Pelodiscus sinensis: one gene and its partners. The protein of the gene in region 4 purifies or fractionates together with the protein of the main gene of each other region. This does not show direct contact. Links are inferred from orthologs where the notes say so. Each region holds a gene or a part of one and is shown on either strand. Other genes may lie near its edges.

Region 1 (7,587 bases), on a different chromosome or scaffold from region 4:
GATTTGGGGTGGAGACCCTCAGGCCCGGGGGCTGGCTGTGGCCCCCCCACTTGCCTGAATCCAGCCCCCAAGGTTCAGGGCTCCCCCCAGCATTGGGGAGCCCGTGCTGGCGCTCCAGCCCCACCCACCACCCAACCAAAATCTACTAGACTGGGCCCCCCCCAGGCTCTGGTGTGCCAGGGGAATGTGGGGAGCATTTTTCTCCCCACTCAGGAGCCACGTCAGTGAGGGTTTTTTGGGCAGGGGATTTCTCATTTGCATGTGGAACCCAATTGATTTTTCTGTGGGTCCATGGTCCCTGCCCCCCAAAAAAGTTCCCTGCCCTGATTTAGGAGCTGAAACACACACTTGAAATTGGAGCACATTTTAACAGTGTCCATTTAAAAAAAAGGGGGGGGGGAAGAGGTAAAGGGAAGCCAGATCATCTGCTTTCCTACAAAGAGACCAGGCTAATAAAATCAACTTCCCTCACTCCTTGCTTTTAACAAGCTAAAGCCCCATTTGTTATAGTCTCCCTTTAAATAGTGTTTGGCCCACATAAAACTTCATGATTCACAGAGATGAATAGGAAGCTTGACAATACTTTACAGTAAGTGACAAGTCATAATTTCTCTGGTATTCAGCAACGCAACACCATTAGTCACGTTGTGAGCCTCTGATAGTAACACAGCTGCAACGCACTGTTCCTCTGGCATTTTAACTGTAGCTTTGGATGAAGTGACCACTCCATTAGAAATGGGGGGGGAGGGGGAAGGCAGGCCATAGTTTTCCTCCAGGGAGTGAGGTGGCCTAGTCACCTCTGACTCGGTTTGGAGTTTCCAAGGTATTTTGGTTCTCCGATGGGAGAAGCTGGTTAGGTCCTGTGCCATCGTAGCCGCGTCTCCAAGTGCAACTTGATTTGTGAAGTCCGGGGGTCCAGTTTAAGCACTTAACTATTACGGCTCACAGCGCCTCCAAGAAGCCTCTGTTGTCACTGTAATTGAAGCCTACGAAAGGCAGGGACAGAGGTCAAGTCCTGCAACTCAGAGGCCTTTGGGGGCTCCAATGTCGACCTCATAAATTATGAGGCGTCCCAAGAAAAGAGGGCGACACAGAGGCCAAGTCACACTGCTCAGTGGCAGGCTGACCCCACTTACAAAGGTCAATCAAGTAACTGCAGGCACCAATTAGTCCCCCAGCCTCTGCGCAGTCAGATGCCATCTCCACGGACAAAAAAGCAACTGTACAGAAGCCACAATCCCGTGCTTAGACAGGCCACTCCAAGCCGGGCTAACCAGAAACCCTGATGCCCAAGTCCAAGAGGAATCTTTAAGTCAGACACATCAGACTGAGAGACCTACAACATCAAGAGTAAACGCAGGGCAATCAATAGCTGCATTGTCACTTCTCTAGACTCCAAGGCCCGACATTTCAGGAATAGGAGTTCAGCGGGCGGTAGCACTTTGCCCAGCTCCCTACTCAAAAATCCATTCACTACCAAAGTTATCAGAAAGGAGACACAACAGATATTAAAGCCAATAACTATGCTTGATCTTTGTCAACAAAAGCCAAGACGCAATACAGGGCAGCTGCAGCCTGGTCTGCACAAGAGGCAAACCCATTGCTGGCCTAGGTCCAGAGGCCAGATCTGCAATCCTAGCCACACCGGCAGCCCTCTGTGCCCAGCAGTGTTTCATGTAAGCTCTCCCCCTCAGAGATTCAAATGCCACCTAGCTGATTAGCAGAGCTCAAACAGCCTCCAGAGCAACATATGTTTCTAATGGTGGTACACATCCACACGTGCCTCAGTGCACATAACAAAATTCATTCTGCACATGGGGAAAACCCACAGGATTGGGACCCAAGAGGTCTCCCCTTCAACCAATGGCGAACATGGCTTAAGGGCTGGTGGAGGGAACAACACTTCTCCACATCAGCCTCCCAGAGAGCTGTTCCCCTTCCTTCCCCCTGCCCACAGAAGCCCTGGCCACACCAGGGCTGTTCGCCTGAAGCAAATCCCTTCTTCCTGCAGCCAACGCAAACAGCCACCGCACAAGTCAAGCCTTTCAGAGGGGAGGCAGACACTTCTTTGCCCCGCTCCCCCTTCCGAGCCAGGCTGCTTCCAGCTCTGCGGAGGAGAGCCCCGGAGCTGCAACGTGGAACTTTTCAAAAAAAGTTTTAAGGCGTTAAAACAGGCGCCCCTAGCAGGGAGGGGAAGGAACCCCAGGCGGAGAGGGGGCTACACCGGGGTGCTGCTTGGGGGGAGGAGGGATTCCTCCTGCCCCCCGCTCACCGACACACGCTTGGGAACGGCCCCAAACAAACATCCTGCTACTTGGGGGGGGGGGAAGCAAAAACAACGGAGAAAGTTTCCTCCAGCCACGGCCAGCTCCTTCCCACGCACGCCGCCTTCCACAGCGCAGCCAGCGCCGGGAAGGGGGCCCCCTCCAGCCGGCTGGGAACGGCCCGGCCCCGGCCCCTTACCTGAGATGTAGAGGCGCCTGCTCTCGTCCAGGTGCGTGGAGATGACAGCGCCCATGGCGGCCGGGGCGCGATGCTCACGGGGAGGGAAGCGCAGCGGGGGGCGCGCACCCCCAGGCGGCTTGCGAGTCCCACGGGGGTCTCCGGGCCGGGCCACCAGTCCGCTGCGCTCGGCTACCGCCGCTCCATGGGCAGGGAACCAGCCTCGCTCCTCCCAGCCGAGGGAAGCCCTGGGCGGGCTGCAGCCGAGACACTCCTGCCTACGTCCTCCCCCCGCCCCGGGCCACACCCTGCGCGCAGCTCCGGGGCCTGGGCGCGGGGTCCTTGCCGGACCGCGAGTTCCTGCTTCCCGCGCGGGTGGGGGCTTGTAAAACACCGTCCCGGGCCGCTTCTCAGAGGCCTTCTCCGGCGAGGGTTTGGGAGTGTCACGGGAAAGCCTCCCCCTTATCGAATGACTGCCCAGGCCTTTGCTAACCACTAGCCCACCTGGCCCCCCGCCCACGTGGGACCGCTAGGAACCTGCAGCCCCCGGGGAGGCCTTTGTCGGGGAAGCTGATTCCTCCCTGCAACTAAACAGGGCTTTTCTCTTGCACCCAGGGGCCTCCCTGCCCCTCCAGCTGCTCAAGGGATCTTCCGGCTCCTGCTTGGCACTTGGCTTGATTTCTGACATTGCCTCACCTGGGATTGCAACATTTACCCAGGCTTGTATAATTCCCCCCTCCCCCAACTGTGCCCAGCCATAAACCACAGCCTGGACTCTTTCCTCGCGCCAAGGTGCATCTGGTACTCACCAAGGCTACGTCTACACTGGCATGATTTTCCGGAAATGCTTTTAACGGAAAAGTTTTCCGTTAAAAGCATTTTTGGAACAGAGCATCTAGATTGGCACAGACGCTTTTCCGCAAAAGCACTTTTTGTGGAAAAGCATCCGTGGCCAATCTAGACGCGCTTTTCCGCAATAAAGCCCCGATCACCATTTTCGCGATCGGGGCTTTTTTGCAGAAAAGAAATCTCAGCTGTCTACACTGGCCCTTTTGCGCAAAAGGGACTTTTGCCCGAACGGGAGCAGCATAGTATTTCTGCAAAAAGCACTGATTTCTTACAGTAGGAAGTCAGTGCCTTTGCGGAAATTCAAGCGGCCAGTGTAGACAGCTGTCAAGTTTTTTCCGGAAAAGCGGCTGATTTTCTGGAAAAACTGGCCAGTCTAGACACAGCCACCATGGGTAACATTGGACATCGCAGCAGGGTGTGGGTTTGCTTTGCTACAAACCCTCCTCCTTCCCTGCTTTTCCCCACGGTCTAGCCTGTCTGAGCCTCTGCTGCTTGGCCCCTTTCCGGCTTAGTACAGCAAATGCAGGACTTAAACCAAATACCCCTCTCCGCTGACTTGGGCAGTGCCCAGGAATGGGCTCTCCACCCACAGAGCCATTCACTGCCCCTGTCCCAACTCCTGCATCTCCACTCCGACCCAGAGGCAGCCTAGGGGCCCGAGGGTTGGCCCGGCCTGGGGAAATCGGTGTCGCACCAGTGCAAACCCTCCCATGCAGACACACTGCACTGGGCTGTCCCACTGCAGTGGGCTCCGCACTGGGCTTCTGTAATGGGGGCAGGGCTTCGATTTCTGTCCAGGGCCCTTTGCTGAGGGTGCGCTGATGTGCTCTTAAGGGAGCTGGGTCCCCAGGAGAAGCCAGATTTCACCCCAGGCTGCAGTTCTGGGGCCGTACTGGGCTCAGGCCTGGCCCCGTGCAGTGTCCCCCTCTTGCAGGAGGACAGACCTGACACAATGGCCATGTGACCATCCCTCCGGGGAGCCCTTGGCGCAGAGAGACGCAGGGGCCCTGCCCAGGAGTGGAGGTGGTGGGAGTGTGGCCAAGGAGCTTGGCCTTGGCTGCTGGAAGGGCCTGCAGGGAGCTCTTGCTTCTCACCAGCCAGAAGGCAGAGCAACCTTGCGGCTGCTCTAGCTAGTTGAGGGCCTGCTCCAGACTGCAGGATGTCACGCACAGACCTTTGCCTCCCTGGGCTGGGTTCAAGGGCTCGGCCTCTCACAGGTATTTGGGTCCCTACGTCCTGCTGAAATTGGTGGGTGTTAGGATCCGGCCAGTGAGTCTGAGTTTATATGGGAGTGAGTCGGGCTCAAGGACAAAGCTGTGAGGCCTGAATTTTTCCTGGGGGTACTGCTTGCCTCCGGAGGCAAGGGGAGTGTTTCTGGCCCAGCGTGACTGCTCTGTGTACAAAACGTCCTGTTTATCCCCTCTGACACCGCTTTTCTTGGCACACCGAGCTCGGCAAAATTCCTCAGGCGTCTGCGAACACCCTGGCAGGGCTGGAGGGAGCTGGAGAACGAGCCCGGCTGCCTGCCCCACATTCATATCCAGTGGGGATGGTGCCTGGGGTCACCACCTCTCTGCGCTGGGAACAGGGCTGCCCAAACCCAAGTGTTCTCGCAGCCGGGGCCCGGGTAAACAGCACCCGCCCAAAACACACAGTGCGGAGAGTGTGCGCGCGCATTGTGCAATGCAGGGCTGCAGACCTGCCCGGCCTGTGCTAAAACACGCCACCCTGGGCGGGGAGGGCGAAGCCCTGCAAGGAGGCAGAGCCGGCCGGTCGGCTGCTTCTGGGAAACCTGCTGGTTTGGTCTGGGAAATCTGCAGCAGAGCAGTCGGCTCCATGACATACGGCTGGGCACTTCCTACATGGGGATTCAGTCTGGACCCGATACCCTGCCCCCGCCCGCCTTTAGGAGCCATTGCCCCTGTGTGAAATAAGGTAGCTGAGAACCGAAGGGGGGGGGGCTGTTCCCCCTGCTGCATATTTACCATCCCTCCAGAGAACTGGGGCTAGAGGTGTGACACATGGGGGTCACAGCCACCGGCCACCAAACCTCTGGCTCTCAGTGGGAGAGGGGAAATGGATGAGCGGGTTCTGGCCACTTGTGGCAGCCGCTATCCTGGCCCAGCAGTGCGCAGAGAGGGGACCTGCAGGGCTGGAGAAGTAGCCCAGCTGCCCACCCCACACTCACGCCCAGTGGGTCCGGTGCATGGGGTCACACAGTGCTACTCAGGTGTGCCCCTGGATGGAGTGAGGAGGCAGGCCCAGCCCTGAGGGACAGGAACTGCCGTTGCTGGGGGCTCGCTCTCTGGCCCCGTGTGAAAAGGCACCTCACGTGCTGAAGGTCGCTGTGGGGAGCAGCCCCCTTCCCCTGTTAGCGCCGCTGCTGTGTGAGTCTCCAAGCCTTGAGCGAAACGACAGCTCTGCAGGCCGAGCTGGGCGATGGCTCTGCCAGCCACCACTAGAGGGCGCCTGCACCAGTGGGCGTGGCTTACAGATGCAAAAGACTCCACCCGCCACCACCCGTCCAGGGATGCCCCGCCGCTGGGGCCATCTGGGAGCTGGCCTACCAGAAAGGGGTGAGTGGCCAAGGGACCTCACAATCCAGCCTCACACTCGCCACTGACTTAGTCTTCAGTGTTGAGTGCTGCAGAAGCCCATGGCCCAATGGCCTTGGAGACGGAGCCTCGTTCTCCCTCAAGCGCGGCTCCGTGGGGGGAGTTGGCCCTGCCACACAGGCGTGGGACTGCAGACTCCACCACCGTCCAGCCCACGCCCACTAGCAGATTTATTAAGCTCTCTAGGTGGTCTCACCGCTAGAGAGCAACACAGCCTCACCCTCTTAGTCTCGTCTTTCTGGCCCTTCCTTAGCAATGGTTGTTAGACACCCACCCACCCTGGCCTGCTGCCTGGTCTGATGAGGCTGCGTTTTCCAGGTCATGTTTCCAAATCAAGCATCCTCTCTCTCTGCAGCGGCTGGTCAGTGACCCAGCTGCCACTGGCATGCTGCTGATGACTCAGGATCACAGGGGAGTGAAGCAGCTCTGGCATTGTTCAAATGCCCCCTGCCATCACCAGCCCTGCTCCTCCTGACAGAAGGTTGCAAAGGACAGAATTTCCAGCTGAGCCCTTTTGTCAGCCTGGCTCTGACTGTGGTGGGTGCTTAGCAGAGCTGCGGGGAAGCCAGAATTTCTATTTGGGGAGGGGCAAGGGGAAATCCTGTGACTGCAACATTTCTTTGTGCTGAATCTGAATAAAAACAACGGATTTAGACATTTCCACTAACAAAACTTCCAAAACACCCTTCATTTTGTGCCAAAGAAATGGGTTCTACATACACAAATAAAATCAAAACATTCTGTTTTATTGTTCACATTTACAATGTTCTATCATATAAAATAATTTGCAAAAAATGAAGCGTCATCCCAAAAAACAAAACCACTAAAAGCAGAACTCTCCTCTCCAAAAAAGTGGCCAAGCCAAAAATTTCATCCTGGTCAAAATGCTGATTTGGAAAAAAAACAGAAAACAAGCATGTTCTCGTGGGCTGTTGAAAAAACAGCGTTTTCTGATGGAAAAACATTCCGTCTGAACATTTTCAACCAGCTCTCGTCTAGTACTCAGTCCTTGGAAATCTGGCCCTGAATTCTTACGAAAACCTCGTCCCAAAGGCCTAAGAATTTGCTTACGACTGTATATTGGGCAATCACAATTCATGTCAGGATCACAAAGGTCAGCACATTTTTGTTAAGCTTTTCGTAGGTGAGAAAGGGTTCCGTCGGTCAGTGATCAGTCAAGATGCACAAATGCCAAACCAAGCGTATATCAAGCTCTTTGGATCTTCCTAATTCTAGGTCCCCTTCTTCTCCATTTCCTTCTGTTTTACCCCCACTCATTGCAGCATGTGTGAAATTAATGAAGTTTATTGAAAATTAGTTGTTTTTCCGATAGGATTTTTTTAATCCATTTTTATTAAAAATGTGGATTTTCATTTCCCCCCCTTTTCTCTCCCATTTTTCTTCCTTCCTCCTTAAGTTTTTCCAAATAAAAACGTTTCAATTTGGAATAAAAAATGTCCTTTTCCAACCACTGGTCCGACTGGGAATTAGCTCTGTCCTCAGCAGGGCGCCCCCTTCTGGCCATGGCTGCTCCACTCTCTCCTTGATCCACACCACTTCCAAGACCACAGCATCCTCTTCAGGACACTGCTGTCCGGCAGCACCCACCACACTGGTCTCCACCCCCTTCTGGCGGTAGCAGCAGTCCACAGCCTCGCGCCTGCCACTGTGGCCAACATAA
Region 2 (7,745 bases), on a different chromosome or scaffold from region 4:
GATACTGGACTTGGGGTGGAAAACTTCTAGTACTTACAGCATGACAAATTACTGTCTATGGAAAAAGGATTAGGAAAAAGAAGCTTCAGATGTTCACAACCCTAGATGAAACTAACTAGTCGCTTCCCCCCACACCTTGCTGCCTCTATCAGAAAGAGAAAGAAGACTAGGGGGTGCTTCAAAGCAGCAGCACCTAGTGGAGCCCGGGGCCAGACCCAGGTCTATCCTGCTGACCCTGGGCTCCATGAGGCACTGCCACTTTAAAATGCTGTGAGGAGCACAGGGCCAATGGGGGACTGCTGGAGTTCCCCCGCTGGCTCCATGCTCCCTGCAGCGCTTTTGCCTTTAAAGTGTCTGTTGCTACACTTCAAAGGCAGAGGCACCCTTATCGATTAATCAATTAGCCAATTAATCCAATGTAACATCCCTAGTTTCATCAGCTTCCACCAATACGCGTTACTAACATTCCAGTCAAATCTTACATGTTTATGGTTATCTGAAGAAGTAGGCTGTGCCCATGAAAACTCACGATATCATCTATATACATGTTTTGTTAGTCTTTAAAGTGTTACCATGCTATTTGTTTTTTAAGTTTATCCTGTACAGACTAACTCGGATACCACTCTGAAGCATGTTTATGGTAGTTTATTGTTCTCTTGACTTCTGCACTGATCCAGCCTTCTTTCAGAGTCTGCCTATCACTATATTTTTAATTTTCTTCCTCCTATAAAATATCTGCACTATCATAGCACCTTCTGTGAATGGTTATGAAATACACTTGTGTTTGAAGCATTATATCTTCTGAACTTCAAAAATATTTTTAGGAAGAACAGTATTTTGAACAAGGAATACTTTGATACCAGAAGGATCTTTAAAAGGAAAGGAATTATTCATCTCACTAGGGTTGAAAGGATGGCACACATACTCAGGTAATAAAGGCTTAATGTATTGTATGGCTGAAAAGTGGCTGATCAATTTCAAAATGCTTTATAAAGAGGAATAAGCAAATTAGTCCTATTTTGCCAACTGGGAAACTGAGGCACTGAAATCACAACAATTTGGTGGTACATGCAAATCTCCTGGGTCCCAATCAGGTGCCTTATCCACTAGAACAATTTAAGGTAGGCCTCTTGCTCATGGTAAGCCACTCACTCACCGGTCCCCAATTAGGGACAAACATGGTAAGGTTTTCAGAAGGACAAAGACCTAAGTTCAAATATATAGGAATACACTAAACAGAGTAAGAACCCCCCCCCCCACCACCACCTTTCCCCTTTTGTGCCAGTTATTTAGAGCAGCATATACTTAAAAATGTATACAATAATCTGTACGATTAATCTGCACATACGATTACTACCACCATATTCACACACAAGGAAGGTGCATGGGTGTAACTGCAAACACAGAGGTCATTTGTTTTTGCAGATACACAGAACTATCATAATTGCACCGAACACATTTCTGCACAAAATGTTTGTAAGTCTAGCTCCCCAAAGCTTGTTTATGTATTAGCAATGGGATTCAAGCCAGAACAACTCCCATAAGCTTAGCAAAAGATGGATCTGAAAATTACAATTCAGACCCATCTTGAAACTAAAGTTTTCCAAGCCTCAATGTGTATTTATTACCTACATTCTTAAGTGCCCATCATCAAAATTCCTGGATTCCAATTATCCATCAGCATTGGGACATACACGGTCATAAATGGAGGCTTATGAAAACTTTACATAAAGCAATTAACTCTCTTCCCCCAAAGCAAAATACTTAAGAAAAATTACTGCTCTGCATTAGTCATTTATCCCCTAGAGGAGAAAACAGGATACAATATAAGCCTATCTTATTAATATTTGCCTAAAAAGGTCATACAAGATCAAAACTATCACTTATTTCTAACAATACGAAACTAAATTACATGAAGTTAAATTAACCTCAGACATAAAACCAAGCATGCCTTCCATTACTATCAATAGACTGTATTTACAGCAGGTTCATTTATAGCACAGATTTCTTTCCTATATTACATGGTGAGCAAAAGAACATACTGCTTCTCACACATTTCACCAATCACGTCAGTGACAACAGACGAGATAGAAATGTAGCCATAGAAATGTAGCCGTGTTAGTCTGGTGTAGCTGAAACAAAAGACAGGGCTATGTAGCACTTTAAAGACTAACAAGATGGTTTATTAGATGATGAGCTTTCGTGGGCCAGACCCACTTCCTCAGATCAAATAGTGGAAGAAAATTGTCACAACCATAGATACCAAAGACTCTCCATGATTTGAAAAGCTTGTCTTACACCTTGACGGACTGCCTGCTGGGATTGAAAGGGAAGCTTTTGGAGGGCATCAGAAATAGACAGGCTAGAATCCTGCCATGTTTGCTTAATCAACCTCTCTCTGGGAGGGGGAGGAGGTGGCTGAGAAAAACACACACATGACTGGACATGTAGCAAGAGTCACGTGCCATCCCAAAGCCGCAGGAGCAGTGCTCCCCACTGACTGTTAAGACCGCTAATTCCCGCCGATGGGTTCTGCAGGCTCCTGGGGCAAACCAGCATTTCCTTTCGCTTGATGCAGGGGTGACATCACCGCGGGGCGGGGCTGCCAATTCCCTCCGGCTCCCCCCGCCCACTCAGCTCCAACCCCAACAAAGCGAGGGGCTCGCCCCGCCCAGCCCCCGCGAGCCACTGGCCGCCACGGGGCGCCCCGCGGGCCTGAGCAGGGGCAGCCTCCCTCAGAGCCCCGGAGCGCGGCGGGCGGGTCCCGCTCAGCGCCCCATGGGGGGGGGGGGGTCGCGCTGCCCCCTCCCGCCGGGCCCCGCACTCACCGAAGCTGCGGCGCTGCTTGAAGGGCCGGTCGGACGGCATGGCTGCGGGGCCGCTCGGACCAGGGGCTCCTGGGGCAGGTGCCCGGGCCGCCCGCTCAGCGCCTCAGCCGCCGTCTGGCGCCCAGGCTCCGGCAGCAACTGCCTGCGGCCAGCGAACGGCGGTGACGTCACCACCCAGCCCTTAAAGGGGAGGTGCAGGGCGCTTTCGGCCGACACCCGTCCGGTGCAGTGTTCCCGCCCCTATTCGTCCCCGCCCCGCCCCCCGGCTTGCCCTCCCCCGCGAGACCCCAGCCTCGGCCCCCCCGCCTCAGACCTCCACTTCCCCCTCCATCGCCCCCCCGCCTCCGACCTCCACTTCCCCCTCCATCCCCCCCCCCGCCTCAGACCTCCACTTCCCCCTCCATCGCCCCCCCGCCTCAGACCTCCACTTCCCCCTCCATCGCCCCCCCGCCTCAGACCTCCACATCCCCCTCCATAGCCCCCCCGCCTCAGACCTCCACTTCCCCCTCCATCCCCCCCGCCTCAGACCTCCACTTCCCCCTCCATCGCCCCCCCCGCCTCAGACCTCCACTTCCCCCTCCATAGCCCCCCCGCCTCAGACCTCCACTTCCCCCTCCATAGCCCCCCCGCCTCAGACCTCCACTTCCCCCTCCATCGCCCCCCCCGCCTCAGACCTCCACTTCCCCCTCCATCCCCCTCCCCCGCCTCAGACCTCCACTTCCCCCTCCATCGTCCCCCCCGCCTCAGACCTCCACTTCCCCCTCCATCCCCCCCCGGCCTCAGACCTCCACTTCCCCCTCCATCGCCCCCCCACCTCAGACCTCCACTTCCCCCTCCATCGCCCCCCCCGCCTCAGACCTCCACTTCCCCCTCCATAGCCCCCCCGCCTCAGACCTCCACTTCCCCCTCCATCCCCCCCCCGCCTCAGACCTCCACTTCCCCCTCCATAGCCCCCCCGCCTCAGACCTCCACTTCCCCCTCCATCCCCCCCGCCTCAGACCTCCACTTCCCCCTCCATAGCCCCCCCCGCCTCAGACCTCCACTTCCCCCTCCATCCCCCCCGCCTCCACTTCCCCCTCCATAGCCCCCCCGCCTCAGACCTCCACTTCCCCCTCCATCCCCCCCGCCTCCACTTCCCCCTCCATAGCCCCCCCCGCCTCAGACCTCCACTTCCCCCTCCATCGCCCCCGCCTCAGACCTCCACTTCCCCCTCCATCGCCCCCGCCTCAGACCTCCACTTCCCCCTCCATCGCCCCCCCGCCTCAGGCCTCCACTTCCCCCTCCATAGCCCCCCCGCCTCCACTTCCCCCTCCATCGCCCCCCCCGCCTCAGACCTCCACTTCCCCCTCCATCGCCCCCGCCTCAGACCTCCACTTCCCCCTCCATCGCCCCCGCCTCAGACCTCCACTTCCCCCTCCATCGCCCCCCCCGCCTCAGACCTCCACTTCCCCCTCCATAGCCCCCCCGCCTCCACTTCCCCCTCCATCGCCCCCCCGCCTCAGACCTCCACTTCCCCCTCCATAGCCCCCCCGCCTCCACTTCCCCCTCCATCGCCCCCCCCGCCTCAGACCTCCACTTCCCCCTCCATCGCCCCCGCCTCAGACCTCCACTTCCCCCTCCATCGCCCCCGCCTCAGACCTCCACTTCCCCCTCCATCGCCCCCCCCCGCCTCAGACCTCCACTTCCCCCTACATCCCCCCCCGGCCGCCTCAGACCTCCACTTCCCCCTCCATCCCCCCCCGCCTCAGACCTCCATTTCCCCCTCCATAGCCCCCCCGCCTCAGGCCTCCACTTCCCCCTCCATAGCCCCCCCGCCTCACACCTCCACTTTCCCCTCCATCCCCCTCCCTGCCTCAGGCCTCCACTTCCCCCTCCATAGCCCCCCCGCCTCAGACCTCCACTTCCCCCTCCATAGCCCCCCCGCCTCAGACCTCCACTTCCCCCTCCATCCCCCCCGCCTCAGACCTCCACTTCCCCCTCCATCCCCCCCGCCTCAGACCTCCACTTCCCCCTCCATAGCCCCCCCGCCTCAGACCTCCACTTCCCCCTCCATAGCCCCCCCGCCTCAGGCCTCCACTTCCCCCTCCATCCCCCCGCCTCAGGCCTCCACTTCCCCCTCCATAGCCCCCCCGCCTCACACCTCCACTTTCCCCTCCATCCCCCTCCCCGCCTCAGGCCTCCACTTCCCCCTCCATAGCCCCCCCGCCTCACACCTCCACTTTCCCCTCCATCCCCCTCCCCGCCTCAGGCCTCCACTTCCCCCTCCATCGCCCCCCCGCCTCAGGCCTCCACTTCCCCCTCCATCGCCCCCCCGCCTCAGACCTCCACTTCCCCCTCCATAGCCCCCCCGCCTCAGACCTCCACTTCCCCCTCCATCGCCCCCCCGCCTCAGACCTCCACTTCCCCCTCCATAGCCCCCCCGCCTCACACCTCCACTTTCCCCTCCATCCCCCTCCCCGCCTCAGGCCTCCACTTCCCCCTCCATCGCCCCCCCGCCTCAGACCTCCACTTCCCCCTCCATAGCCCCCCCGCCTCACACCTCCACTTTCCCCTCCATCCCCCTCCCCGCCTCAGGCCTCCACTTCTCCCTCCATAGCCCCCCCCGCCTCAGACCTCCACTTCCCCCTCCATAGCCCCCCCGCCTCAGACCTCCACTTCCCCCTCCATCCCCCCCGCCTCAGACCTCCACTTCCCCCTCCATAGCCCCCCCGCCTCAGACCTCCACTTCCCCCTCCATCGCCCCCCCGCCTCAGACCTCCACTTCCCCCTCCATAGCCCCCCCCGCCTCAGACCTCCACTTCCCCCTCCATCGCCCCCCCGCCTCAGACCTTCACTTCCCCCTCCATCGCCCCCCCGCCTCAGGCCTCCACTTCCCCCTCCATAGCCCCCCCCGCCTCAGACCTCCACTTCCCCCTCCATAGCCCCCCCGCCTCAGACCTCCACTTCCCCCTCCATAGCCCCCCCGCCTCCACTTCCCCCTCCATCGCCCCCCCGCCTCAGGCCTCCACTTCCCCCTCCATCCCCCTCCCCGCCTCAGACCTCCACTTCCCCCTCCATCGCCCCCCCGCCTCAGACCTCCACTTCCCCCTCCATAGCCCCCCCGCCTCAGACCTCCACTTCCCCCTCCATAGCCCCTCCGCCTCAGACCTCCACTTCCCCCTCCATAGCCCCCCTGCCTCAGACCTCCACTTCCCCCTCCATAGCCCCCCCGCCTCAGACCTCCACTTCCCCCTCCATAGCCCCCCCGCCTCAGACCTCCACTTCCCCCTCCATCCCCCCGCGCCTCAGACCTCCACTTCCCCCTCCATCCCCCCCGCCTCCGACCTCCACTTCCCCCTCCATCGCCCCCCCGCCTCCGACCTCCACTTCCCCCTCCATCGCCCCCCCGCCTCAGACCTCCACTTCCCCCTCCATAGCCCCCCCGCCTCAGACCTCCACTTTCCCCTCCATCCCCCCCGCCTCAGACCTCCACTTCCCCCTCCATCCCCCCCGCCTCAGACCTCCACTTCCCCCTCCATAGCCCCCCCGCCTCAGACCTCCACTTCCCCCTCCATAGCCCCCCCGCCTCACACCTCCACTTCCCCCTCCATAGCCCCCCCGCCTCACACCTCCACTTCCCCCTCCATAGCCCCCCCGCCTCACACCTCCACTTCCCCCTCCATAGCCCCCCCGCCTCAGACCTCCACTTTCCCCTCCATAGCCCCCCGCCTCACACCTCCACTTCCCCCTCCATCGCCCCCCCCGCCTCAGACCTCCACTTTCCCCTCCATAGCCCCACCCGCCTCCACTTCCCCCTCCATCGCCCCCCCGCCTCAGACCTCCACTTCCCCCTCCATAGCCCCCCCGCCTCAGACCTCCACTTCCCCCTCCATCGCCCCCACCGCCTCAGGCCTCCACTTCCCCCTCCATAGCCCCCCCGCCTCAGACCTCCACTTCCCCCTCCATAGCCCCCCCGCCTCAGACCTCCACTTCCCCCTCCATCCCCCCGCCTCAGACCTCCACTTCCCCCTCCATTGCCCCCCCGCCTCAGACCTCCACTTCCCCCTCCATCCCCCCGCCTCAGACCTCCACTTCCCCCTCCATAGCCCCCCCGCCTCAGACCTCCACTTCCCCCTCCATCCCCCCGCCTCAGACCTCCACTTCCCCCTCCATAGCCCCCCCGCCTCAGACCTCCACTTCCCCCTCCATCCCCCCCGCCTCAGACCTCCACTTCCCCCTCCATCCCCCCCCGCCTCAGACCTCCACTTCCCCCTCCATAGCCCCCCCGCCTCAGACCTCCACTTCCCCCTCCATCCCCCCCGCCTCAGACCTCCACTTCCCCCTCCATCCCCCCCCGCCTCAGACCTCCACTTCCCCCTCCATCCCCCCCCGCCTCAGACCTCCACTTCCCCCTCCATAGCCCCCCCGCCTCAGACCTCCACTTCCCCCTCCATCCCCCCGCCTCAGACCTCCACTTCCCCCTCCATCGCCCCCCCCGCCTCAGACCTCCACTTCCCCCTCCATCCCCCCCCGCCTCAGACCTCCACTTCCCCCTCCATCGCCCCCCCGCCTCAGGCCTCCACTTCCCCCTCCATAGCCCCCCCCCCCGCCTCAGGCCTCCACTTCCCCCTCCATAGCCCCCCCCGCCTCAGGCCTCCACTTCCCCCTCCATAGCCCCCCCCACCTCAGGCCTCCACTTCCCCCTCCATCCCCCCCGCCTCAGGCCTCCACTTCCCCCTCCATCCCCCCCGCCTCAGACCTCCACTTCCCCCTCCATAGCCCCCCCGCCTCAGACCTCCACTTCCCCCTCCATCGCCCCCCCCGCCTCCGACCTCCACTTCCCCCTCCATCCCCCCCCCCGCCTCAGACCTCCACTTCCCCCTCCATCGCCCCCCCGCCTCCGACCTCCACTTCCCCCTCCATCGCCCCCCCCCGCCT
Region 3 (7,948 bases), on a different chromosome or scaffold from region 4:
CAGGCATGATTTTAGTTAGTCAGATGTCCTCTTATGCGTGTGGCCAAGTTTCCCACAGTCCCATACAGTTTATTTACAGCCACCAGTCCTGGCTCTCTGTGTTCGGTGCTGTTATTTAGTTCTAATTTGCCTCTAAATATCTTCTAAGAGCCCAGTAAGCAGGGGAAGTGTTGGTGATGCTGCTAGATAATATTGACCTCCTATTGTTTGGAAAATTCTCTGGTTCGGCACCAGTCAGGTCCCAAAAGTGCAGGACTAGAGAGGTTCAACCTGTAGTTTGTTATTGTAGAGTCTACTAGAAGGAACGTGGCAATGGTTTGCTATTGGAGTATTTCTATGATTTACACAAGCACACACACACACAGGCCTGCCGCCAGCCTGGCCCATTGCCAGGATCCCTCCCTGTTCCTCCCCCCAGGCCTGTGGGCCCCACACCATCCCCTCTCCCACTGCCAGGATCCTGCCCCCAACTTCCCCAGTGCAGGCAATACAACTGAGTCACATCCGCTGCCAGCCATTCAAATGCAACTTCCCCTCCCCCAGCTTCCTTCCTCTTCTACTGCTTGCATCTCCCTCTGTCCCATTCAGTCCCCGCATACTGCTCCACCACATGGCAGCCCCTTCACCAATCGTCCCAGCACTCCCCCTCCCCCGACCATTCACTGGCAAAACAGGAAGTCCCACCCTCCACCAGGCACACTGGGCAGGAAGTCCCACCTCACCTGTCATCATCGCTGTCCTGGTGTCCCCCCATGGCAAACATAGATCGGGCCAGGCTGAGACGTGCACCAAAAGGGTCCGACGCTTTTCGAACAGGGCTCCCTTCCCGAAACAAGGGGAGGGCTGGGGAGGAGGGGCGGGAGCTTCGCAGTGGAACCTGTAGAGGAGACATCATAATGGAGAGAGGCCAATGAACAAGGTGGAGCAGAAGGGACCCAGGCATCCTCCCTTGCCCCCACATGCTTCAGTGGATGCTGCCAATGGCTCCGCATCCCAAGGACAGCATTGGGCAGCTGCAATGGGGCCTGAATGCCTGGGTTCCTTCCATTCTTTCCCTGCCCACCAGAGCCTGGGGGGCAGTGGGCAGATGAAAATCACCCCTTTTCCGTCATGGTGATGAGAAAGGAGGAGGCAGCCGGGGAGGTGTCAGGGCCCAGAACCTGACCCCCCTTCCCTGGACCATACATCCTGCTGAAGGAATGTCTCTCTGGGACAAAAGGTTAGATTCATGAGATATCTGTGGGTCTGCCTCTACTTTGTGGGGCTGAACTGGCTAGGGGTTCCTCCATCAGACCCATGGCCCAGTCGGCCTGAACCCACCTCCAATGCCAGATGCTTTCAGAGGAAATTTCTGCAATGCACCTCACTATATCACAGCACAGGAGAAGGTGGCCCTCAAACCTTACCCCATTAACTTCCATTACCCCCAGCCGAACTGTCAGCCCAGCCAGCATCCAGTGGTGGGGAGTTCTGCAGGCTGATGCAGCCCCAAGTGGTAGGAGGTCATTGGAATCAGGGTGATTGCAGGTCCAAAGGGAAGAGATGGAGCCAGGTGTGCAAGGAGCTGTCCCACCACTGCTATCTCCTCCCTCTCCAGCCACCACCCGTTTACTACCCCATGCGCACCAACAACCCTCCACCTCCTCACCAAATGCTTGTCAATCCCCCTACCCTCTGGGGAGGGTATCCTAGTGGAGACCCCACCTATCTGGTGCAGGGGAGACATGGCTCCTAATATGGTTCAGAATTAACCCACAGGACTACCTACTGCAGGATTTCCACTGGGGATCTGATCGGCGAGGGGCAGGTAGAGTCAAGACTGGACTAGCCCACAGGCTGATGCAAAGGGCCAGATACAAGGTTAGATGGGCCTGTGGGGTGGCTTTCTACCACGTGGGTCTCCGTGGTCCCATGAAACCCAGGCATCTGGCCCCCTTTACCTTGTGCCTCTCCTCCACCTCCCTCCGGATGCGCTGGGCGAGGCTCTGGGGCAGCAGCAGCTCTTCCACCCCCACGCCCGATTCCCCAGGCTCAGCACTGGCCCCATCACTCTGAGCTCTGCCCCCTGGAGTTCTCTCCCCACCTCCCAGCGAGCGGGGCAGGTGCTCGCCAGGCAGCGTGGGCCAGGCTGTGCCCTGGGAGTGGCCATGTCCGCCCCAACGCGCCAGCGGGGGGCTGAAGTAGCCATGGGGCTTGGGGGCCAACCCAGCAAGCTCCAGGCGGGAGTCAAGAGACTGCGGGTGCCGGGCAGCGGCCAGGAGCCGCCCCACCACCTGGTGCTCCGGGTCCCGGTCGTAGAAATCCAGGCAGGTCCAGCGTCCCCGTTTATATGGCTCCCCAAGGCCCTGGTCCAGCTTCACCACCCGGAAGCGGGAGGCAGCGGTGCTGCCGGGTGGCACCGAGGGCCCGTTTCTGGGCACGGTTGCATCCTCTGGCAGCTCCATGGCGGGTGGCGCCTCCTGCTGTTCGTACTCAGTGGTGATGCTGGTGATCTGGAAACTGCTCTTCTTTCTGCTCATGGTCCTGCTCCCGCGCCAGCTCAGCGGGGCCTAGGCAGCACCGGGCCAGCACCAGGCTCTCGGGGCGGTGACATGCCTGCGGGCAGCTGGGCAAAGGGGGCACCACCAGGGGCAGGCAGGGCAGCCCCTGGGGTGCTAGCTCGCCTGGAGGTCAAGGGTCCTGGGGCAGGTTACAGGTCATGAGGAGCACACTCCCAGGAAGGGGGGCGGTTTGGGGGGGGGCTGCTGGCATCCCCGCCCCTAGGCCCCCACCGTGCTGGGGGCAGCACTGGAAAGTTCCCTTAAGTTGGGCGCGTGCTGGGGGCAGGGGGGGCTGCAAGGTGCCCGGGGGTGGAGGGCGCACTTTTCCGGCAGGGGGTCTGGATTCTCTCTTCTGTGCCCGGGGAGCACCCCCCGCCCCAACTCCGGCCAGCGCCGCCGCCTGTTGACAAGTCCCCGCTCCAGGAAGTCCGGCCCCCGCCCCGACCAGCTGACTGCTCCCCCCCCCCGCCCCGTTAACCCCTTCCTGCTGCAGCGCCCCATTCCCGCCCCGCCCCTTCCTTTCCTTTCTCTTCCCTTCAGTGCTGCAGCGCCCCGGCCTGCCCGCCCCGCGGCAAGCGTCCCGCTGCATCTCCCCGCCCCCAGCACCGCCTCGGCCTGCCCCCTCTCCCCGCCCCTTTAACACTCTCCCTGCCGCAACCCCCACCCCGTTACCCCTTCCCTGCTGCAGCCCCCCCGCCCCATTAGCCCCTTCACTGCCACAACCCCTGTAACAAAGTGGAGATTGTAGTCACCCGATTGCTTTGTTGCACGTGATTTCTACTGTGCTGTACTAAGCCCTCGTGTGCCTCAGTTTCTCTGGGCACTACACCAATATCTAGACGATGGGAATTTCGGTGACAGCCTCCCCCACGAACACAATAGCTGATACTTTCTGCAACCTGAGCCTGGGACGGGGGTGTGACCAGGTCACGCCCTTTGTCCGAAGAAGCCGACCAAAAGCTGGAGGCGCGTCAGACTACAGGGCTGATACAGGCTGCTGAGGGTGTGAGCGAGTCTCGCTGGCTTGGGGTGCTAGGAAGGGAATGGGAGCCCTTGGCTCTGAGCCTCCTCTCCCCAGATGGATGGTGCTGGCTGCTTCTGGTTCCTGTGCTGACAAGTCTGTTCTGTGCTGTGTCCCTGTCACCTAATAAATCTTCTCTTCTACCTGCCATCTGAGTCACATCTGGCTGTGGATGGGGGTGCAGGGCCTGGTGGTTCCCTTCCCCTCGATAACAGCCCTGGCCCCGTTAACCCCTTCCCTGCCACTGCCCTGCTAACCCCTTCCCTCCTGCATTTTGCCTGGCCCCTTAACACAAGAACTTATCCCTGCAACAAACCCTGTTGCCAACTCTGTCCATACATCTACACAAATGTGCCAAAGGTTAAATGGACTCAAATGGATCACAAAGCAAGGTAACATACAAAAACCCTTAGAATATGTTAATCTCCCTGGATGCTCAGTAACAGATTTAAAAGTAGCATCCTTCTACCAAAAAAACTGCAGAAGCAGACTACAAAGAGAAACAGCACAGCTGCAAAATTCATTTGCAAATGTAAGGATCAAATTAGAAGTGAATAAGGACTTAGAATGGTTCTCCTACTACAAAGGCAATTTTCTCCCTCCATATTCACAGCTTCCCCATCAGCTGCTGGGACTGAGCACATCAACCCAGACTGAACTGGCCTCTTTAACACTGGTCTTACACTTGATAACGAAGGATGAGTCTACACTGTACAGTTATTCCAAAATAAGCAGGTTGTGTAGAGTACCCAAACTCCCTTCTTTTGATGTGCTAGTTCATCTGTATATATCCCTGCCTCTATTTTTCCATTCTATGCACCTCATGAAGTGGGCTCTACCCATGAAAGCTGATGCCCACATAAATCTGTTAGTACTTAAGGTACCACAGGACTCTGCCTTGTTTTTACACACATACACCAGCAGGAAATTGTCACAAGCTTGAAAGATGCTGCTTCCTCCTGCTGGTGAATGAGGGGAAAGCACCTCCCCTCCATGCCACTGGCCATGCCAAGCCCACCTAGATTCTAGGAGACAGAAACTTACTCAGGTAAGGGGACCTTATGCAACTGGCCATCCCACCCCAGAGGTGGCTGCATCCCAACACCAGGCAAGAGGTCCTTGTGAAATCAGCCACCCCACCCCAGAGGTGGCTGCATCTTAGCGCTGGGCGAGGAGTTCCTGTGTAATAGGCCACCCCACACAAGAGTTGGCCCCCTGGTAACCATCTGTTATGCCCTAGAAGTGGCTGCCTCTCACCACCATGGAGGTGTCCCTGTGTAACAGGCTGCCCCACTCCAGAGGTAGCCACATCTCAGTCCCAAGCAAAGTGGCCATGTGTAACCCCCTCCTCTGCCCCAGAAGTGGCAACATCTCAGTGCTGGGAGAGTTGTTCCTGTGTAACCGGCCACCCCACTCATGAGGTGACTGCATCTCAGTGCTAAATGAGAGGTTACTGTGTAACTGACAGAAAAGAGGAGACTAAGGTGGGATATGATAGAGATTTATAAAATCCACTGGTGTGAAGAAAGTGAATAAGGAAAAGTTATCTACTTGTTCTCACAACATGAGACTGAATGAGGGGTCACCAAATGAAATTAATAGGTAGCAGGTTTAAAACAAACAAAAGGAAGTATTTCTTCACACAACACATAGTCAATCTGTGGAACTCCTTGCCACTGGATGTTGTGAAGCTCAGGACTTTAACAGGGATCAGAAAAGAGTCAGATAAAATCATGGAGCATACTTATTAGCCAGTGTCCCTAGCCTCTATTTGCCAGAAGCTGGGAATGGGCAACAAGGGCTGAATCACTTGATGATTCCCTGTTCTATTCATTCCCTCTGGGGCACCTGCCACTGGCCACTATTGGAAGATATGATCCTGGGCTAGATGGACCTTTGGTCTGACCCAGTCTGACCATTCTTATGACAGTTCCATCCCACAGGTGGCCACATCTCAGCCCCAGATAACCAGCCACCCCCACATCTCAGGCTACTTTTAGACTACAATGTTTTATTAGAAAAGGGTATGCAAATTGCACTCTGCAATTTGCATACCTTTTTCTGATAGTTTTGTTGGAAGAGGCTTTTCCAAAATTTGGCCCATCCACAGTGGGCCAAATTTCAGAAAAACCTATTTTGGAAGAGCCCATAGAATGAGGAAGACAGGGCTTCTGAAAGAGTGTATGTGCTCTTCTGAAAAAAAAAAAGCGGAAGAGCAGACACATTCCCTGGATGCAGCAGAGTTTTTCCAGGATATCACGGAAAACCCACGTCGCCTAGACGGAACCTCAGTGCCTGACAAGATATTCCTGTGTAAACGACTTCCCAGCACTAAGATGCCACATCTCAGCTCCAACCGGGAGGTTCTCTTGTAACCAGATGCCCCACCCCACAGGTGGCCATGTATAAGTGCCAGGCCAGGTGTCCCTGTGTAACCATCCCTCCCGCCCCACAAGTAACTGCATCTCAGTGCTGGGGGAGGGGTCCCTATGTGACCAACCACCCACTCCAGAGAGGGCCACATTCCAGCTCCAGGCGAGGGGTCCCCTTGTGCCCCAGAGGTGGCTGCATCTCAGCCCTGGGTGAGGGTTCCCTGTGTAACCAGCTGTCCTGCCCCATCTGTGGCCACATCTCAGCCTAGGCGAGTTGTCCCTCTGGGTATATCTACACTACATGGCTCCATCAACGGAGCCATGTAGTGTAGACATACCCTCTGTGACCAAACACAGACCTTCAGAGGTGGCTGTATCTCAGCTCCAGGTGAAGGGTCCTGGTGAAACTGGCCACTCCCCATGCCCAGAGGTGGCTGTATCTCAGTATTTGGTGGTGGGTGCTGTAAGAGCTGTTACAGCAACACAGGGTGTGGTCTCCTGCCCTGCTTGGTCTTTGACTCTGGAAAAATAGGGTTCATGGTCCAGGAAACAGGGACACATGATGCCCCCCTCGCAGGCCAGTTCGCAGGCTCTGGGGATTCCTGGGATGATCAAATACAGTTCTCCGCCTATTGTGGGGTGGCAGTGAAGGGCAGCAGCTGGGTGGGGAGGGTGCAAGTCGGGAAGAGCACTGGGGGTGGGGGATCTGTGAGTCAGGAGTGAAGGGCACCAGTGGAGGAGCTGTGGGGGGAGTGAGGGGCACCAATGGAGGTGCTGTGGGTGTGGGAGTAAAGGGCACTGGTGGGGCGTGCTGTGGAGGGAGTGATGGGATACTGGTACGGGGATGTGGAGGGCATCAATTGGAGATTGCAAGGGGGAGTGAGGGATACTGGTATGAGGGCTGCAGTTGGGGGGAGTGAAGGGCATTGGTGAGAGGGTTTTGGGGGGGAGTGAGAGGCACTGGTGGGGGAGCTGCAGGGGGAGTGAGTGGCACTGGGGAGGATGCGGGGGGGAGTGAGGGGCACTGGTGTGTGGGGTGCGAGAGGAGTGAGGGGCACTGGTGAGGGGCTGCAGGGGGAGTGAGAGGCAGTGGTGTGTGGAGTGCGGGGGGAGTGAAGGGCACGAGCGTGTGGGGGGAGTGAGGGGCACTGGAGTGTGGGGTGCGGGGGGAGTGAGGGGCGCGGGGCGGTGCGGGGGGGAATGAGGGGCACTGGTGAGGGGCTGCCGGGGGGGAGTGAGAGGGACTGGTGTGAGGGGCACGGGGCGGGGCGGGGTGGGGGGAATGGGGGCACTGGTGAGGGGCTGCAGGGGGAGTGAGGGGCACTGATGGGTGGGGTGCGGGGGGGAGTGAGGGGCACTGATGAGGAGCTGCAGGGGGAATGAGGGGTACTGGTGTGGGGGTGCGGAGGGAGTAAGGGGCACTGGAGGGTGGGGTGCGGGGAGAGTGGGGGCACGGGGCGGTGCGGGGGGGAGTGAGGGGCACTGGTAAGGGGCTGCGGGGGGAGTGAGCGGCACTGGTGGGTGGGGCGTGGGGGGAGTGAAGGGCACGGGGGTGCGGAGGGAGTGAGGGGCACTGGTGGGGGACTGTGGGGACAGTGAGGGGCACCGCCGTCTCTCTCCCCGGCCTCCCCCCCCCACGTTTCTCCATCCCCGGCTGCGGGGGGGCGGAGGGAGGCGCCGCGGGTTGGACGCTGCGTCAGCGGCAGCGGGATGGGGCGAGCGGAGCCGCGGGAGCCGAGCCGGGCAGGTACCGGAGCGTGCGGGGCTAGGCAGGGGTTGGGGGATGTGTGGGGCAGGGAAGTGAGCTGGGTGGGAGATGTAGGGGGCTGGGTAGGGGGCTGGAGAATGTGGGGGGCAGGGGAGGGGTCTGGGTGGGGGATGTAGAGGGCTGGGGGATGTGGGAGGCAGAGAAGGGAGCTGGGTGGGAGATGTAGGGGGCTGGGCAGGGGCTGGGGCATGTGGGGGACAGGGAAGGGGGTTGGGTGGGAGGATGTGGGGGCTGAGATGGGTGTGGG
Region 4 (7,863 bases):
CCTTCTTCCCTGCTTTCCCGACAGGAACTAACTCACTCTCCTCCAGCCCCGCCCCCCAGCCAGGGCCGCATCCACCTTCCTTTGTTCCTCTCCATGGGGGTCAGCTGGCCAAACCAGTTGGGATACCCTCTTTGCATAGTGACTCATCGCTTGCCTGCTCAGTGGTGCTATAGACAGCAGCCAGAGAGTTAGCAGGTTACCCCCCACTACGTCACACCGAGCTCTTCCCGCGTCTGGACGTTCGCCCTGGCCAGCCAGGCCTCGCCGTGCCTCTTGCCCTCGTAGGCGAAGTGAAGCTTGTTCACGTCCGGGCTCCGCCGGAGGGCCCGGAAGCAGCAGCGGGCGTGAGCCGCAGCCTGGCCGCCGCTTTGAAACGCTCGTAGCCGTTCCCGTGTCCCTCTGGCAGCTCAGTGGCGAATTGTGCGGAGACTCCGCTGGGCTGCGGCCGCAGCTCCACCAGGTCCTGGCCTTTGGGGACGCCGTACCCAAGGCAGCTCCTTTCGAAATCCACCAAGATCTCCAGGTCGTCTCTGGCCCGATTCGCGGGGTATCTCCTGGGCCAGGGAGCCGGGGGCTGAGTGGGGGCAGCTGGCGCCGCCGGATTCTCCGCCTGCTCCAGCTCCCAGCGCCTCAGCTTTTCCTTCTCTGCCTCAAGCTTTAAGCGCGCCACCTGCAGGAAGAACTTCATCTCCTTCGGCAGAGCCCCCTGGGTGTCTGCGGCACGGCCGGGACTGGGCCATCACCCTCTGCTCCTGCCCCCGGGGACCTTCTCCTGTTCCTCAGTCCTGCTCTGGGCATCCGGGGCTGCTCCGCCCTTGGTGCGCCGCTTTGGGGGGTTAGTTGCTCGAGGGCTGCTCTGCCCCCCGGAAACACACGTGCTGGGCGCTTGCCTGCCCCACGCCGGCCGAGCTGTCCAGTTGCAACCTGTAAAAAACCCAAGCGAAGTGGTTTGGTTTGGATGCGCTGGCTTTGCCGGCTGAGCCTTTAGCGCGTCTTCTCCCGCCTCAGGCAGCAAAAGGGAAAACCCCCAAACAGCGGGGGGGGGGGTCCCGAGGTCTGTGACCTGCTTGAAAATCCCACCAGCATGCCAAGGCTGCCCTCCACGCTGCCACTGTGTGTGGAGAAGGGGGGGGCCTGCAAAGGACCTTAACGTTTTCTGCTGAAAAACCTCCCTGAAGTCACAGATTCCCGGGGCCTGTTGCTGCCACCCCCCAAATGCAAAAGCCCCTTTGAGAACCCAGGAAGATACACTTGGAAATTTCTTCCTGTGGGGCTCATTGAGCTCTTGGAGCCTGAAACCCCCTATAATTGTCCTTAATGCGGGGGGGGGGGGAACCTTTTCTAGGTCAGTGACCCACAGAAAAATCAGTCAGGCCCAGGCTTGTAGATTTTGTGCGCTCCAGCCCCACAGGGGGGAACGGGGCAAGGGGGCCGCCCCGAGCCTCCAGGGCTGGATCCGGGCAAGCCTTAGGCCCCCCCCACCCCATAGCTGACCTTTCAGTCACAGATCCGCCGGCCTTCTAGGGCGCAGGAATCAGCCCCCGGCGTTAAAACGGGGATTTCAGGATCAAATGAAAGACGCTCCTTGGTCGCGGGGCGTTAGAGCAGCCAGAACCAAACCAGAGTCACGCCCCCGACTTGCTTCCCTGGGACTTGGCTTGGAGAGTTCGAGCAGAGCGGGGGTCCAGGGAGTGGACCCAGAGAGACCCAGCAGAGCCCACCATAAAAACAACCTGATGGCGTCCGACTGGCTCGTCCCTGCTCTACTCGCTGCCTGGTGCTTAGAGACTCAGCCCTTCCCTAGACCCGGATGTCTCTGGATCCGGCTCCCTGGCTTGGCCCCTGGCCCAGCTCTGCTTACACAGACTGGACCAGGTCGCTGCTTCCCATTCAAAAACCTGCGCTCTGCTCCCATTGGTTGGCCGGCTTCCTGCTTCCCGGTGTCCCAGAGCCTCTCTAGGCCCCGCTCTCTGTGGTTTGAACCCTCCAGGCAATTCCATGAACAGGAGGGCCGAAAGGGCCCCTCCCGGCCAACACCTTCTGCCCCACGTCAGGCCTCCCTCTGCCCTGGCAGTGTTCAAACCTTCCGGGAAAAGCCAGACACAGGTGCTGAGCTCTGGGGTTCCTGCCCTCCGGCCTTGCTCCTGCAACAAGGGAGTTTTTCCTGTTCCCACGGGGGTGGGGGGGCAGCGGGTCCTTGGGCATCCCAGCGGCTGGGGGTGAGGCACGGTCCCAGGCATTAGCAGGCGCTCTGGGGTGCCGACAGCAGGGGGCCGCAGCTGGAACCCCCGTACTCCAGAGGCTCCAGGCCAGAGGGGCGCAGCTGCTGCAGCCACCTGGCGGCTGGGACAGGTGCTCACGGGGTTGCCCCTGGGGATTAGCAGAGGTGCCCTGGGGGGCTCCCAGGTGATTTCTAGCACAGAGACCTTCTCAGCGGCAAGTGTGAAAATCCAAGTCACGTGCCTTCTGCGTCACCCAGCCAGAAAGCATCGCATGGAACCCTGGCTCCCGGCGACCCCCTCCCCTCCCAGAGCTGGGCGAGAACCCAGGAGTCCTGCGTCCCAGCAAAGCACCAGGCCCGGCGAGTGGGACCCAGCTGAGAGGCGCTGGAAGGGGGGACTAGGGAGGGGAGATTGGGAGAGCTACATTCGCGCACTTGGAGCCAGGCGGCAGCTGGGGGTGGGGCACAAACCACTCAGAGCTGAGAGTTAGAGGGATCCACTTGGGGGGGCTGAAGGGGGGAGCCTGGGGGCAAGCTCAGGGAGACACAGAAGAGCAGAGCCAAGGCAGGGCCTGGAGCTGAGTGCCCTGCCAGTGATTCCCTGGCTCCTGAGCTACACCCCCCCATGCGGGAAACGGCCGCCCAGGGCAGCACTTGGCGCAGGAACCAGGGCTGAGCCCTGTGTGAACACCAAATGTGTCTCCACCTCCGATCCATGATTGTGGGGCCTGACGCCGGGGTGCAAAGACGCCCAGGCAGGAGCCTGGGAAACACCTGGTACGAGTGTTGTACTTAAAAGAAGCACTCGGGATCTTTTTCAGAGGGACAAGGCAACACGCCACATTTACTGATCACACATAGAATAATCAACACTTATCATATGGACATGATACATATATGTCACTCACACACACACACACACACACACACACACACACTCTCCGTCTTGCTGTTGTTACCAACGAGTTGCTCCCCTTAACTTCACTGGCCAGGTGAGTTAGATGGGGGAGGGGTGGAGCCGGGCTTCTGCTGATCCGGATCGATGCTCCGATGGTGACTAGACGAAACCCGGGGTCCTCTGCAAGACACCTCACTTTTATAGCAGCTTCCCTCTTATGCAAATAGATCCCAGATTCAAACTCTGGGTCTGTGTCCCTTGGTCCCTTTGTGGGTGTTGTCTGTTCAGAGAGGGTGTTTTCCAAAGAGGGTGCTTGCTTCTAATCCCCAAGGCGGTGGATATGTCTGCTTGGGTCTGGCTTCCACCCCCTCTTCAACTGGGGTAGCTCTCTGGAGGGGCTGGGCTCCCAAGTCTTACTCATTCACACCTCGTTCATTCAACAGGGCAACTGATTGGGGGGGGGGGGAGTAGGGGGAAAATCTTATTCTACTCCTAGCAAATGACATTTTTACCACTTTAACTGTAGATTCAGTTTTCTACGTCGGGTTCTAATACAAAGTGACACGGTTCTATGGAGAGGCACATGCCAAGTCACATGCCGCAATATACAATACACAGATTTATCTACACGAGTGCCACCTCTGCACCTGTCCCCGAGGGGGGCGCTGTCTCCACTGCAGCCCTGTTGTGATGCAGCCACTTCTGGGGTGGGTGAGGAGACGGTTTTACAGGGATTCCTCGCCCCAGTTGAGATGCAGCTGCCATGGGCCGTGGTGGAAGGGCCCAGATGGCGGAGGGTCGCTCTCAGAACACGCAGCCCCAGGAGCCTCTCTATGGCAGCTCAGTGGAGCAAGCTGGTGCCCACTGGGCCACAAAAGGGGCTGAGACCCTGCAAACTCATTGCACTTGGGCCTCCACACAGAGGCACAGGCCAGTCGCTGCTCCCCAGGGAGTCCTAGGAGCGCCTGGAGGCAGGGCACCTTCCCTGTCCGGTACAAAGTCCCGGAGCCTCTCCGGGCTGGGCAGGCGGAGGGCAAAGGGCAGCAGCCCCCCCTTGTTCTTTCATAGCACCCAGGGCTCCGTGGGCCCTGCCCCAGAGAGCTCAGGCAGCGAGGGGCCCCCAGAACTGAAAGGGACGGGGCAGGCTGAGAGAGGGGCCCCCCCAGAACTGAAAGGGACGGGGCAGGCTGAGAGAGGGGCCCCCCCAGAACTGAAAGGGACGGGGCAGGCTGAGAGAGGGGCCCCCCCAGAACTGAAAGGGACGGGGCAGGCTGAGAGAGGGCCCCCCCTTACTCCAGAGAGGGCCCCCCCAGAACTGAAAGGGACGGGGCAGGCTGAGAGAGGGGCCCCCCCAGAACTGAAAGGGACGGGGCAGGCTGAGAGAGGGGCCCCCCTTACCCCAGAGAGGGCCCCCCCTTACTCCAGAGAGGGCCCCCCCAGAACTGAAAGGGACGGGGCAGGCTGAGAGAGGGCCCCCCCCTTACCTTTGCTCCCCCTGCCCCAGCCTGCTTCCGTCCCAGCCACCCCGCCCCCCTTCTGTGCCTCCCCCAGGCTCTGCCCCTAATCTCCCCCAGTCATCCCGCGCCCCCCATTCATCCTCTGCAGCGCCCCCCCGCGCCCTAATTCTGCCCCCAGGCCGGAGCGGATGCGCCGCTTCCCCGCCGCGTTCTCGAACCCGAACGCTGGGGCCGCCGCGTTCCATCCGGCCGGGGACTGGGGGGGGGGGCGGGTGGAAACCAGGGGACTCTTATTCTGACAGCGGCCGCGCTCTGCTTAGTCATGGTGACTCCCCCCCCGCGCCGCTCCCTCCCCCCAGCCCTGCCTGCGCCATGGAGGAGCCGAGCCGGGCCCAGCCGGGACGAGCGGGCGAACCAGGAGGGCCGGGGCCATGTCTGGGTTAGTGACCCCCCCGGAGAGAGGGGATCCCCGCCCCCCCCCGGGCTTGTGGGGAACCCGCCCCCGGGCTCCGGGGACCTGCTGCACAAGCCCCCCCCCCAGGTGCTCTCACTAGCTGGGCCCTCCCGGAACTGTCAGGGACCCCCCGAAGTGGGGGGTAGGGCCCTGGAGTGGATGAATTGTGGGGGCGCCATTGAGTTGGAAGCGGGAGGAAGGAAAACGGGGGGGGGGGGTTGCGGCCGAGCCCCCCCCCCCCGGCCCATGTGGCGCTTTGTCTGGGTCGCTTTAGTCAGCTGTTTGGGGGCTGGGGTGTATGGGGCGGGGGCGGGGGTTGTGCATGTGTAGCTCTCACGGGGGGTCACTGCCCTAGATCGGGGACCAGTACTCCCCCCCCCCCCCGGCCTTTCTGCTTATCGCTCCACCGGCCTGCCACGAGCCTGGATTGGGGGGTTATTCCTGGATTGGGGTCACCCCCCCCGCACACACGCGTCCGAGGAAGTCCCTGCGTGTGACAGCTGGGGGCGGGGGTGTCGCCGATTCGCTGGCTCTAGCGTCTTGGGGGGGAGCAGGCGGGACCCAGGCTTAGGGGCTGCTGGAACTGAGCTCCCCCTCGTAGGGACCTTGTTTAGAGCCCCCCATGCCCAGCTCCCTTGTCAGGCAGGCGGCGGGGGGGGCAGCGGGCTCTGGTCAATGTTTTCCATTTCTGGCTGCATCCCTGAAATTGCAACACGTCCCCGGATGGGCCACCCACTGGCCTCCTTCACCCCAGCCCCCCCCCCCCTTGGTGGCTGCAGGATGGATAGCTCCCTGGTGAGGGCTGTCCTGGCATCAGGGAGGGGGTGCTCTAGCAGGGCGGGGATACAGAGTCATGTTGTTCCTCGCCCTCCCCAACTTGTAACTTTAGGCAAGCTCCTTCCCCTGGCTGTGCCTCAGTTTCCCCATCTATGCAATGGCATCATGGTACTGTGGTAATTAGGGGGGTGAGGGAGGTGCCCGCTGCCCTCTGCTGAATAGCATCAGAACAGCTCAGCTGTGTCATAGGCCCTGCACTGATAACACCTATGGGGAGTTCCTAGAGAGGGAGCATGAGCCCTGCTGAGCAGGCGGGCGGGGCAGGGTGCTCCCCTGGTCTGTGAGCTGCATGGGGCCCAGGACGCGGAGGCTGGGTGGCAGGACGAGTTCAGGCAGCCGGCAGGGCAGAGCTGGGCTGGGCCAGGGATTTTCTGGATCTGTCCCTGGCCTCCGGGCTCAGGAGCTGCGCTCACAGCAGACGCTGCATGAGCCCAGGTGCCCGCGTGGTGTGGGCACTGGGCTGGGACTCAGGACACCCGGGGTTCCCTCCCTGGTTCCGACACCTGGGGCCGCCAGACTGCGGCCTCTTTGGGGCAGAGACTGGGCGTGCCTGGCCCGGCGGGTGCCCCCCAGCTGTGACCCAGGCCCTATGGCCCTAGGACATGTCTGTTTCTAGGGCAGGGGTCTCCAGCTTTTAAAGCACGAGATCACTTTTAGAATTGAAGTGTAATCCAGGATCCACCTCAAACCCAAACTCCCTGACCCCGCCCCTTTCCCAAGGCCCCGCCCTGCTCCCTCCCCCGTCCTCACTCACTTTTATCAGGCTGGGGGCAGGGATTTGGGGGGCAGGGGTTCAGAGCTGGCTCCAGCTGGGCACTGGGGGGTGGTGCAGGGGGCCAAGGCAGGCTCTCCCCTCCCCTGGCCCTGCACCACTCCCAAAAGCAGCCAGCAAACTCCCTCCAACCCTGCCCCCCTCTGCTCTGTGGAGCTGGGGTACAGGGTGGGGGGAGGGACAGCCTGACATCAGCACCCCCTCCTCTTCCCGTGCCCTGCGCAGTGAGCAGGAGGCTCCCAGGGGTGGGGGCAGCTCCAAGGCAGAGGGCAGGAGCAGCACGGCCGTGCTGGGTGCCGGCACTTGACAGCCTCCCTACCAAACCTCTCAGGATCCAGCGGGGGCCACCTGGGGGATTGTTGGGGGCCGGGGGCCTGCTGGGGGAACGGGGCTGCATGGGGGAGATGCTGGGGGCAGAACAGGGGGCCGCCTGGGGGGCTTGTTGGGGGCTGGGGGGACTGCTGGGGGAACGGGGCTGCATGGGGGGACGCTGGGGACTTGTGGGGGGCTGGCAGGGTTGGGGGGGCTGCACGGAGGGTAGCCGGGGGTGAGCTCTGACCCTGAGGACCCTTTCCCCAACCCCGCTGATTTGAGGCTCAGTCCCCGTGTCCTTGGCTGTGCCTGGCCTCCGCGCTCCAGTCCTTGGCCTACCTCCGAGCGGGGCCCTCGTTAGCAGTGATTCTGCCTCGTTAACGCTGGAGCCAGCCCCCAGGAATGGAGCCGGGGCTGGGGGGGTGGCCCCCCCGGCCTGGCCCGCTGGGGGCTGCGGCAGCCCAGTGGGGAGAGACCCCCGCGCTCCCAGCCGGGCCCCCTCCTAAGCCCGTCTCCCCCGCAGGTGTGGCTTTGCTGCGGTGCCCCCGGGCTCAGTAAGGTGCCCCCCGGCGGCCTAGCCCCTCCCCCCGCGGCGATGTACGCGCCGGAGTGCAAGGCGGAGGTGACGCCGTCGCCTCACGGGCAGGGCACCTTCAGCTACACCCTGGAGGAGCACACCAAGCAGGCCTTCGGCATCATGAACCAGCTGCGGCTCAGCCAGCAGCTCTGCGACGTCACCCTGCGGGTGCGCTACCAGGACGCCCCCCCGGCCGACTTCCAGGCCCACAAGGTGGTGCTGGCCTCCTCCAGCCCCGTCTTCAAGGCCATGTTCACCACGGGGCTGCGGGAGCAGGCCATGGAGGTGGTGCCCATCGAGGGCATCCACCCCAGGGTGATGGAGCGGCTCATCGA

The links.
Region 1: the proteins of KEAP1 (region 4) and NIBAN2 purify together in Homo sapiens (affinity purification with mass spectrometry; 3 studies listed by BioGRID and IntAct, with this or other methods). This does not show direct contact. The link is inferred for Pelodiscus sinensis from reciprocal best matches to the Homo sapiens genes KEAP1 and NIBAN2.
Region 2: the proteins of KEAP1 (region 4) and MAP1LC3A purify together in Homo sapiens (affinity purification with mass spectrometry; 3 studies listed by BioGRID and IntAct, with this or other methods). This does not show direct contact. The link is inferred for Pelodiscus sinensis from reciprocal best matches to the Homo sapiens genes KEAP1 and MAP1LC3A.
Region 3: the proteins of KEAP1 (region 4) and TSC22D4 purify together in Homo sapiens (affinity purification with mass spectrometry; 4 studies listed by BioGRID and IntAct, counting the BioPlex papers as one, with this or other methods). This does not show direct contact. The link is inferred for Pelodiscus sinensis from reciprocal best matches to the Homo sapiens genes KEAP1 and TSC22D4.

Annotation. Positions count from the first base shown.
Region 1 is NC_134732.1:4,580,191-4,587,777, forward strand, and holds the start of NIBAN2 (protein Niban 2), read right to left. Parts: upstream 3,005-7,587; 5' UTR 2,519-3,004; coding exon 2,464-2,518; intron 1-2,463. UniProt on the Homo sapiens protein: May play a role in apoptosis suppression. May promote melanoma cell invasion in vitro.
Region 2 is NC_134728.1:35,700,636-35,708,380, reverse strand, and holds the start of MAP1LC3A (microtubule-associated protein 1 light chain 3 alpha), read right to left. Parts: upstream 3,005-7,745; 5' UTR 2,869-3,004; coding exon 2,829-2,868; intron 1-2,828. UniProt on the Homo sapiens protein: Ubiquitin-like modifier involved in formation of autophagosomal vacuoles (autophagosomes). While LC3s are involved in elongation of the phagophore membrane, the GABARAP/GATE-16 subfamily is essential for a later stage in autophagosome maturation.
Region 3 is NC_134734.1:8,743,738-8,751,685, reverse strand, and holds the start of TSC22D4 (TSC22 domain family protein 4), read right to left. Parts: upstream 3,005-7,948; 5' UTR 2,520-3,004; coding exon 1,941-2,519; intron 878-1,940; coding exon 723-877; intron 1-722.
Region 4 is NW_027465991.1:323,331-331,193, reverse strand, and holds the start of KEAP1 (kelch-like ECH-associated protein 1), read left to right. Parts: upstream 1-4,859; 5' UTR 4,860-4,898; coding exon 4,899-5,015; intron 5,016-7,474; coding exon 7,475-7,863. UniProt on the Homo sapiens protein: Substrate-specific adapter of a BCR (BTB-CUL3-RBX1) E3 ubiquitin ligase complex that regulates the response to oxidative stress by targeting NFE2L2/NRF2 for ubiquitination.